Linked DNA regions of Ovis aries. The protein of the gene in region 2 interacts with the protein of the main gene of each other region in a pairwise test. Links are inferred from orthologs where the notes say so. Each region holds a gene or a part of one and is shown on either strand. Other genes may lie near its edges. The genes, in order: GJA4 and OPRM1.

Region 1 (4,355 bases), on a different chromosome or scaffold from region 2:
CAGGTTGAAGGGGCTGGGACAGTGAGGATGGAAAGAGTCTGGTGCTGAGGCAAATAATTTCAGAAGGCAGTGTTCAGGACTCAGAGCTGCTGAGAGGTGATACGTAGGAGTTTGAGGGTTTAAGGCGCTGGCTGGTGTTGGGATTGCAGAGGCAAGGAACCGTGGGCAAAGCAACTGTCCTCCAACCCCCCATGCAAAGGTACATCATGACAGTATCAACACACACCTCACTTGTGATCAAGTCCTGTTTATTTTAGAAGGATAAACAGTGGAAGTAGGAAGGAGTGATGAGAATAAGACCCCACTCCCCTTGACAGGGCCAGATCCAGCACAGGCTCTGTGTGTGTGATCAAGGCTGACCCAGCAGCCTCCACCAGCCTTTCCTGAGAGGACAGGGTGTGCAGACAGCCTGGGTGGAGGTGAATCTGCCGCGGGGGTGGGGGTGGGGTAAGTTGTCTCCGAATCCCTCTGAACCAGGTGAAAAAGACCAAAGGGCTCAAACACCCTTGGCTAAGAGCACCCCACGCTGGCTCTGTCCATGCTTGGGACAAAGCCACGTTCTGGAGGGGAAAGTGTGGTGCCCTCTGGTCATTAGGAAGGATGCAGGTGTCAAGAACAACATGCAAGGAGGCTGTCTGGCCAGCCAGCACCTGTTTCCCCCAGCCATCTCCGTGGAACCTTGCATTAAAGGCAGCAAGACTTCCCAGGCCCCGCTGCGGGGTGATGGAAGCCTCAGGCCCTTACACATACTGTTTCTTGGAAGCAGAGCTACTGGGGCGACTGGGGGATTTCTGGCCAGTCTGGGGGGGTGGGTCCAGGAAGAGGGGGGCTCTGGAAGAAGCCAGCCTCTCCTCTGTAGTCAGGTTGGCCCAGTTCTGCTCACTGGACGACAGCCCGTTGTAGGTGGGGCATGGCGGGGATGAGGGCCCCTCGCCCATGGGGAGGTAGAAGAAGACCTGGTCGGCGTAAGGCTCCGAGGAGGTGCCCGGGGCTGGAGGCGCATCCTGGCGCTGCCGGGCCCTCACCCCCCGGCTGAGGCAGCGGCACAGCAGGTACGCCAGCTCCAGCAGGTTGAGCACCAGGGAGATGAGTCCGACCACCAGCATGAAGATGATGAAGATAGTCTTCTCCGTGGGGCGAGAGACGAAGCAGTCCACGAGGTAGGGGCAGGGTGAGCGCTGGCACACAAACACAGGCTCCATGGTCCAGCCATAGAGACGCCACTGGCCATACAGGAAGCCCGCCTCCAGCACGCTCTTGCAGAGCACGCTGGCCACATAGGTGCCCATCAGCGCCCCACGGATCCGCAGGTGACCGTCTTCCGCCACCGAGATCTTGGCCATCTGGCGCTCTATGGCTGCCAGCGCCCGCTCCACGCGTGGGTCCTTGGCTGGCAGCGCCCGGAGCTCCCCCTCCTTCTGCCGAAGGCGCTCCTCGCGCCGAGACAGGTAGATGACATGGCCCAGGTAGACCAGGGTGGGCGTGCTGACGAAGAGGAACTGCAGCACCCAGTAGCGGATGTGGGAGATGGGGAAGGCCTGGTCGTAGCAGACATTGGTGCAGCCTGGCTGGGCCGTGTTACACTCGAAATCCGACTGCTCGTCGCCCCACACCGACTCGCCGGCCAGGCCCAGGATGAGAATGCGGAAGATGAAAAGGACCGTCAGCCAGATCTTGCCCACCACGGTCGAGTGCTCCTGGACCTGGTCTAGCAGCTTCTCAAGGAAGCCCCAGTCGCCCATGGCTCCCGGGCCTCCGTCTGCAGGGAGGCATAAGACACGGTCAGTGTCCTTCTCAGCTGTCCTAGCAACAGGTCTGCGGGAAACTGAGCTCCCGGAGGGGAAGGGACTGGCCTGGGGGCTCACACCCAGCAGGACTAAAAGCAGGCCTTTGGCTGATGGCTGCTAAGCTCTGGCAAGGGTACAGCTAGGAGCCTTGCCTAGTCCCACCTGGGTCCCTCCTGACCCAGCCGAAGGAGCTCTGGATCCAGGTGAGCCTCCTGAGCCTAAGGGAACAGAGAATTTGAGGAACCCATCCAAGGTCACACAGCTGCGCCATGCCCCTCCTCCCTTCGGCCCAGGACAGGCTGTCCCCAGACAGTGAGGGGGAGGTGGTGGTGGTAACTCCAGCTTCCCAGGGGGCCCAAAGCCTCAGGTCCCCTCTCCCTCCCCAGCAGCTCTCGCCCATCTGGCCTTGCTCTAACCTCTGAGTTCCTGGTGAAGGCATGCTAGACACTCAAGGCAGCATCCTGCATTAGCTCCACCTGTCAGCAATAGCGGCCACCTGCCGCTTAAGTACCCACTCTTGATCTCGGGTCCCCTTTCTCCACTCCCTCCCCCTGCCAAAGCTGTTGCTGCCGGATTCTAGGCTCTTGAAAGGAACTGTCATAGCAGGGTGGAGGCACAGGCCACAGAGTTCCCAGAACTTCAGGGGGAGAGTCCGGTGGGGGGAGGAAGGAGGGGGAAAGGGGATGGGGAGGTGCTTCTTTGTGGGAGCAAAGCGGTTTACAGCCGGGCTCTGGAGCCAGACCTGGGTTCAAATCCTACCTCTCCTGCTAACGGAGGCCTCGGAGAAGTGACGGCCCCTTAGTACCTCAGTCTCCTCTCCTGGAAAATGTTAACATTCCTACTTCCGAGGGTTATGAGGGCCCACCGAGAGACGGCAGGAACCCGGCTTAGCCTCTGAGGCCAGCCCAGGTAGGCTGGGTGAGCCAGGCCCGCGGTGGGTGCCCCCCGCAGCAGCCCTCCGCCCCTGGCAGGTGGCCCCCTGTCCCTTGCCCGCTGGTCCGCTGGCAGGTGGCGCCCCAGCGCGCCCCCCAGCCCAACTCACCGCCGGCCTGCGGGCGGCCCAGGTGGCGGAGGGGACGCAAGTCGGCCGGAGCGGCGCCCGCGGGAGCCCTGCTGGACGGCGCCGGGCGGCGGGGGCGCCTTAAATAGCGCGCGGGGCGGGGTGGGGGCAGGAAGCGGCGGGCGGGCGGCGGGCGCTGTTCCGAGCGGGAGGTTGGGGGCGGGACGGGAGGCGCGGGCTCCCTGAAGCCACTCTCAAGAAAAGGGCCCGGGAGGTGCCAATGGGAGTCGGGGGCGAGGAGCGTGGGGGGAGAGACTGCTTCTTTGGCTGTGCAACAGAGAGGTCTCCGGAGGGATGATGTTTTCCAGGGTGGCTGCATGCGAAAGGATTACAGCCAGAACTTTCTGACCTCAGGCAGCTGTCCTGGGAGGCTCTGAGAGATGGGCAGGTGGGGGTGAGGGTATGGGGCCTCCTGGGAAGGGCAGCTCCTTGACCGTGGGGGCCTCTCGCTCTTGTTGAGAAGGCAGAACACCCCTGTGGGGTGGCCACTGTGTGCCCAGAGCCATACCAGGACTTGATAATGAAGCCTCCTTAGGGCATGGGAGAGAGAGGGTTATAATCTGCCTTCTCTAGTGTCTGTGGTGAAGCTGGGGGTCTCTAGTCAGCCCCTGTTCTTGCTGAGATCTTAAACATCCCCATTCTTGGGAAGGCTGCACCATCAGAGGGCAAGCAATGCCATGGTCCACTAGAGACAGGACGAGGGTTGGGGGGTTGGGGGGAGGGGACTCTCCTGACCTTTAGCTTGGATCTCATCCTCATGGCTCTAAACGTGGGGTGGGGGGAGGCATCCAAAAGAAGTGAAGAGGTGGGCAGGGCCCGCCTGTTGTTCATTCAGGCATTATCCTCTCTGTGAACATCCATGGGCTGCAGGCGTTGTCTGTGGAGCTGGGGAGTTGAGCATAAACCAGCCAGATGTGGTCCCTGGCCTGTGACTCTCACTGGCTAGAGGAGACAGGCAGGAACTGTGCCCATCGGCCTTTGGGGAAGAGTAAAGATGCGAAGTTCCCCTGACTCGGGGGGGCTCAGTTAGGAATGTTTCCTGGAGGAGACAGCATTAGCCAGGGGGATGGGAATAATCAGGAGTCTATAATAGGAATAGAAAAGAGTTTTATTTGAGCCACACTGACTATTCTTGCCCAGGAGACAGCCTCTGATAACTCGGTGCAACTGCTCGGGAGAAGCACGATTTTTCAGCACAGTTTATATCTTGTTGGAACAAAGAATGTCAAACAAGTCAGGGATACTTCAAAGTTGCGAAAAAACAAAACCAAAACCCACGAAATCACAGATCAGCAGTACACAGAGTCAGTACGGCCTTGGCACCTGGGAAGAAAATCTTATCATCGAAGGAGTAGCAGCATTGGTGTTCCAGAAAGGCAGGCATGATGTAACCTTTATTTTTAACATGAACATTCTTTACTTCTGGTCAATGCACCCTTTTCTTTCATAATTAAAGCACATGTACAACGTATGTTTGACAGGGCCACAAACAGGATGTTTTAGTTAGC
Region 2 (4,489 bases):
TAATGTCTGTGAAATGATCACTTTGTAGTGAAATAACCATAGCGTGGAGATAGTCTAGTTAAATATTCTCAGCTAAATAGATATAGTTCCTTCACTCCCCAGAGGCTTCATTGGTCACTGAACTATTTTTCTGTTTCACAGTCATATTCCCAGAAGATTATCTGACCTTGGAATTAAACACCTGACTTGCACAGGTGGGTGTTTGAGGTGCCTTTTCAAACAGTACTGTATTCTGGTTGGAACTTTAAGCACAGAAAAATAAAGCATAATATCATGTTCTCAGTAAGAGACAAGGTCACCATCCTTTTCCAAGTCATCAAAAGTTCAGAGGTAATACCTTTAAAACAAAATCACCCAACTAGTAATATCTTTAGCACAAGAATAAAACCAATCTGTTTATTCCACAGCCAGTTGTTGCTCTATTGGCTCTCTGCTTTATAGAAAAGCATAAACCAGAGAGGAGAAAAATTAGGAAGGAAAATACCAAGAGAAACAATAAAAGCATAAATGATTATGTTTTAGATGACAGAATTTCAAGATGGTTTTATAATTTCTTTTCGTCCTTCATTCTCCAGGATTACAGAAGTAAATTTGGATTAATTTATTATTTCCAAGTTATTATCTAAACTACTCTGTCAATGTTGTAGTTGAATTAACTCAAATCATGAGCCACTCTAAAACAGAAAATACATTGGCTAAGAGCAATTCCATGGTATTGAACTAATGAACTTATCTGTCCTTGGAGAAATAATTTATATTTTCTGTGCCACATTTTACTCACCTAGCCTAGAAAACCTCTAGGTTTCCTTCTGGCCCTATAAGCTTACGAGTCCATGAATTTTCTTAGGAGAAAGAATAAATTTTCCCTTCATGGGCAGGGATTTAGTTATTATTTTTATTATCATAAATGCAAACTAAGACAGTTTTCAGATTTGAGAGGAAGCTTTGTATTGAATTACATAAAGTAAATGTTTTAAAAATAAATTTTCCCATTGATTCTCTTCCTGCATTTTTCCTTCTGTTGTTAGCTTTCTTTGCAATAGATGGTGCTCTTTACTCAGAGAAACTGCTTATATGATTCTTCATCAAAAGATCAAGAAAATTAGTTTTACTCTTTAACAATCATTAATTAAAGAAATCAGACATAAAAAGCAGAAAAAATCGATTACAAACAACTTGCACCACCTCAATAAAGAAAGCATAACGGAGAAAACGACTGTTAGATGATTTAAGAGCTCCAGTGAAACCTACAATACTTGCTGAATAGATGAAGCCAATATTGCAGCTAAACATGGAAGTGCCATAGTAGGAAGAAAACCCTAAATCAAGAGCCGTGTTAAAGTGTTAAAATAATCATATACTTCTCAAAAGTTAAAACATAGTATTCCATATTAACATGTAGGATTTGAATAGGCACATCAACACCAACACAATCTACATCAATCTCAGCTAATATTGAACTTGTATATTTTCTGCCAAATAAACCTGGAACATCTGGACAAATAGAAACTGGGCCACAAACTCTTCTGAAATAATTTCACTGGATGAAGACACTTTTTAATTTCTCTAGAGCAACCATTACAACTTCCTATGCAATAGTTTATCATCCAGAATTATGTTGTTTTTGGTCACTTCTGACTTGTTTCAACTTTTGGGGGCACTGAAAAACAGTGCTGCAGTTCCGAACCACCTGACCTATTCCTGATTCAGTTTGACTCCCCTAGCAGATCTGTAGCTGCCAACTGCAAACTGGTCTCGGCAACACAAACAGCACCATTTACTGTGGCAAGACACCAGAAAAACTTCCTCTAGGAGTGAGGAAGAGCAGGGCACAGCAATGGTGCAGCAAATACACTGGAATCAGCAGGAGCAGGAAAGTTGCCAAGGTTCATCTCTGAAAAGAATAGAGAAGGAAATCTGCCCCTTCTGCCTCCAATTAAGGATAAAATAACTAGAATTTATCTTCTATTTTCCACAAATTATTGTTTCCACAGCTCCTTTGGAAGGGGCTATGGGACACTGTGGTTAAGAGCCCAGAGCCCTTCTGGCTCAGTATAAACAAGCTGTAAGATAGAGGCTTTTTTTTTTTTTTTTTTTTTTACCAGAGCTTTATAGCTTTTACTAAAGCAACTTCTCTGTTTCTGAAATTTTGGATTCTGTCTTTATTAACGGAAGGAAGAATAGAAAAGTAAGTTTTTGTACTCAAGCTGCAACCACTCTGTCTAATTTCACCTCTACATTCTCCCTTGTTTTACCTCCTTTTTTCTCATCCTCCCCCCACCCCCAACACCCTTTATGCCTCTATTAGCCACCGAAATCCGGAGCCCTGTGGCCTTCCTTACCTGACAATCACATACATGACCAGGAAGTTTCCGAAGAGCCCCACCACGCACACGATGGAGTAGAGGGCCATGATGATGATGGCCGTGATCATGGAAGGGCTGCCGGCCGAAGGGCACAGGCTGTCGCTCCCGCCCAGCTCGGTGCGGTTCGGACCGCATGGGTCGGACAGGTTGCCTTCTAAGTGGGAGAAGTTGACCCAGGAGCTGGGACTAGGTGCTGGGGAGCAACTTGAAGGGTGTGTGAAGGGGTCAGTGCAGTTGCTGGCGTTCGTGGGGACGGCGCCGCTGTCCATGGTGCTGACCGCCGGCTGGGACCACGTTGGGAGTAACCGCGAGCACCCTGACTTTTCGGGTTCCACGCGTGAGCCGCTTCGTCTCGCCGCTGCCACAGCTCCTGTTATTTCTTACAGCGACCAACCCCGGCGGAGCCAGAGAGGAGCGTCAGGCAGGAGAGAGCTAAGCATCTGACATTATTCTCTGCTTGTAGCCCCCTCCCACCTTAGAAGTACACAGACAGGGCTCCAGCCCCACACCGCCGGTGGGGAAGGAGGGGAGAGCTGTGCGGGATCCGGAGGCTGGAGCCGAGGGAGGAGAGAGAAGGGGATTTTGCGCAAAGCGATCCAACGACTCTGTTTCCCCACTCAGCACTCCTCTGTGCAAACACCTCTAAGGACAGGCAGAACCAGAAAGGGGGTTGGAGGGAAGGGGTTGAGAGTGAGACAAACGGAGAGTTTTTGGCGGATGCAAAGCATTAAGGAAGGGGGCTGACCTCACATTTTCCAGCACCGTTTTCTCAGTGTACCATGACAGAAAAGACACTGGTCTGACGCCATCCTGACATCCCAGACCCCAGAGCTCTTCTGTCTCTGCTGCCTAAGCAATGATTTGGTGCAGGGTACACAGAATCCTCTTCTGTAGCCCTCCTTGCCTCAGACTTTTTCTGTCTGTAGAAAAAGTCACCATGTGTCTCTTTACTAATGGAGAATTTCCAACCCTTCAACCCTGCCTGAGACAAGAGTGATTCCTTTTCTGAAAAGAGATGAAAAACAAACTTTGAGAGAGGATATCTATTCCCTTTACTTCATATTCCCTTTTTTCTCCTGGAGCAGAAGTTTTATTTGCATCTAATTTCTAGCTTGCTGACAAAGAGGCACAGGGAGTTGTGGCATCCTGAAAAGCCAAAGAAAGACAAGGGTGACATTCCATATATAAATCTCATAGGTTTGGAGTTATTAATTATTGGTTTTATCTCCAGCCTTCCTACATATGCTTCTCAGTAGAAGACTGTGAAAACCAAGTGTTTACATTATTTCAGTGTATTCTAGTGTAGACATTCCAGGAAAAACTACATAGACATCTGGAACTGGAATGGCTCATACAAGGTTAAGGATTATTGTTATGCTTTAAAATTTGATAATTCACTTTTAAATCCACAAATGCTTCTACTTTATTAATAAATTTTGCTTTGTTTGTCTTTGTTTTTTGGTAATGTTAACACAAATTCTGAAGTAATTCTCATTTCTATTTATGGGTATATTTGTCTGCATATGTATCTTTTAACTACTAACACTATCATTAAAGATCCCCAGTTGTTTGTAGAAAGCTATATCCTTGGTGAACAGGGATCAAGGTGAGGTAGAGAGCTTGGAAAGAAGATTTAATTCCAATATTATTTTTATCACTTGTCTGGAAAACATAATACTGGTAAACTCCACTAATCATAGATAATTTTGCCAATGTTCAGTATTTTTATCTTTTTTTATGTTGAAGGATAAAATTTCAGCAATAACATGTTATAAAGATCTCCTACAGAATAATAAAAATGCTTCACCACCTATTCTCCTATGAACTAATGTATTAATTCACCCATATTCAGCTGAAATCTGTCTGCCATTATTCAGTCTCTTGAGGACACACAGAACCACTCTAAACTTACTTATGTGAAAGACAAATTAGCACAGTATAAAAAGTCCTTGCCTTAAACCCAGATCATTTTGCAAACCTTAGATTTGTAACTTAAACTTTTTAGCTGTAGGAATTTGCATACGTTACTTTACCCGACTGAGTGACAGCATTCTCATCAGTGGAAAAAAATGTATAATACTTCATATGTCTTTTACCAGGATTAAATGAAATACATAATACAA

Evidence for each region.
Region 1: the proteins of OPRM1 (region 2) and GJA4 interact in binary tests that used the Homo sapiens proteins (3 or more experiments, as listed by UniProt). The link is inferred for Ovis aries from reciprocal best matches to the Homo sapiens genes OPRM1 and GJA4.

The regions. Positions count from the first base shown.
Region 1 is NC_056054.1:9,838,262-9,842,616, reverse strand, and holds GJA4 (gap junction alpha-4 protein), read right to left. Parts: upstream 2,907-4,355; 5' UTR 2,547-2,906; intron 1,760-2,546; 5' UTR 1,743-1,759; coding exon 741-1,742; 3' UTR 232-740; downstream 1-231. UniProt on the Homo sapiens protein: One gap junction consists of a cluster of closely packed pairs of transmembrane channels, the connexons, through which materials of low MW diffuse from one cell to a neighboring cell.
Region 2 is NC_056061.1:78,543,934-78,548,422, reverse strand, and holds the start of OPRM1 (mu-type opioid receptor), read right to left. Parts: upstream 2,809-4,489; 5' UTR 2,636-2,808; coding exon 2,343-2,635; intron 1-2,342. UniProt on the Homo sapiens protein: Receptor for endogenous opioids such as beta-endorphin and endomorphin. Receptor for natural and synthetic opioids including morphine, heroin, DAMGO, fentanyl, etorphine, buprenorphin and methadone.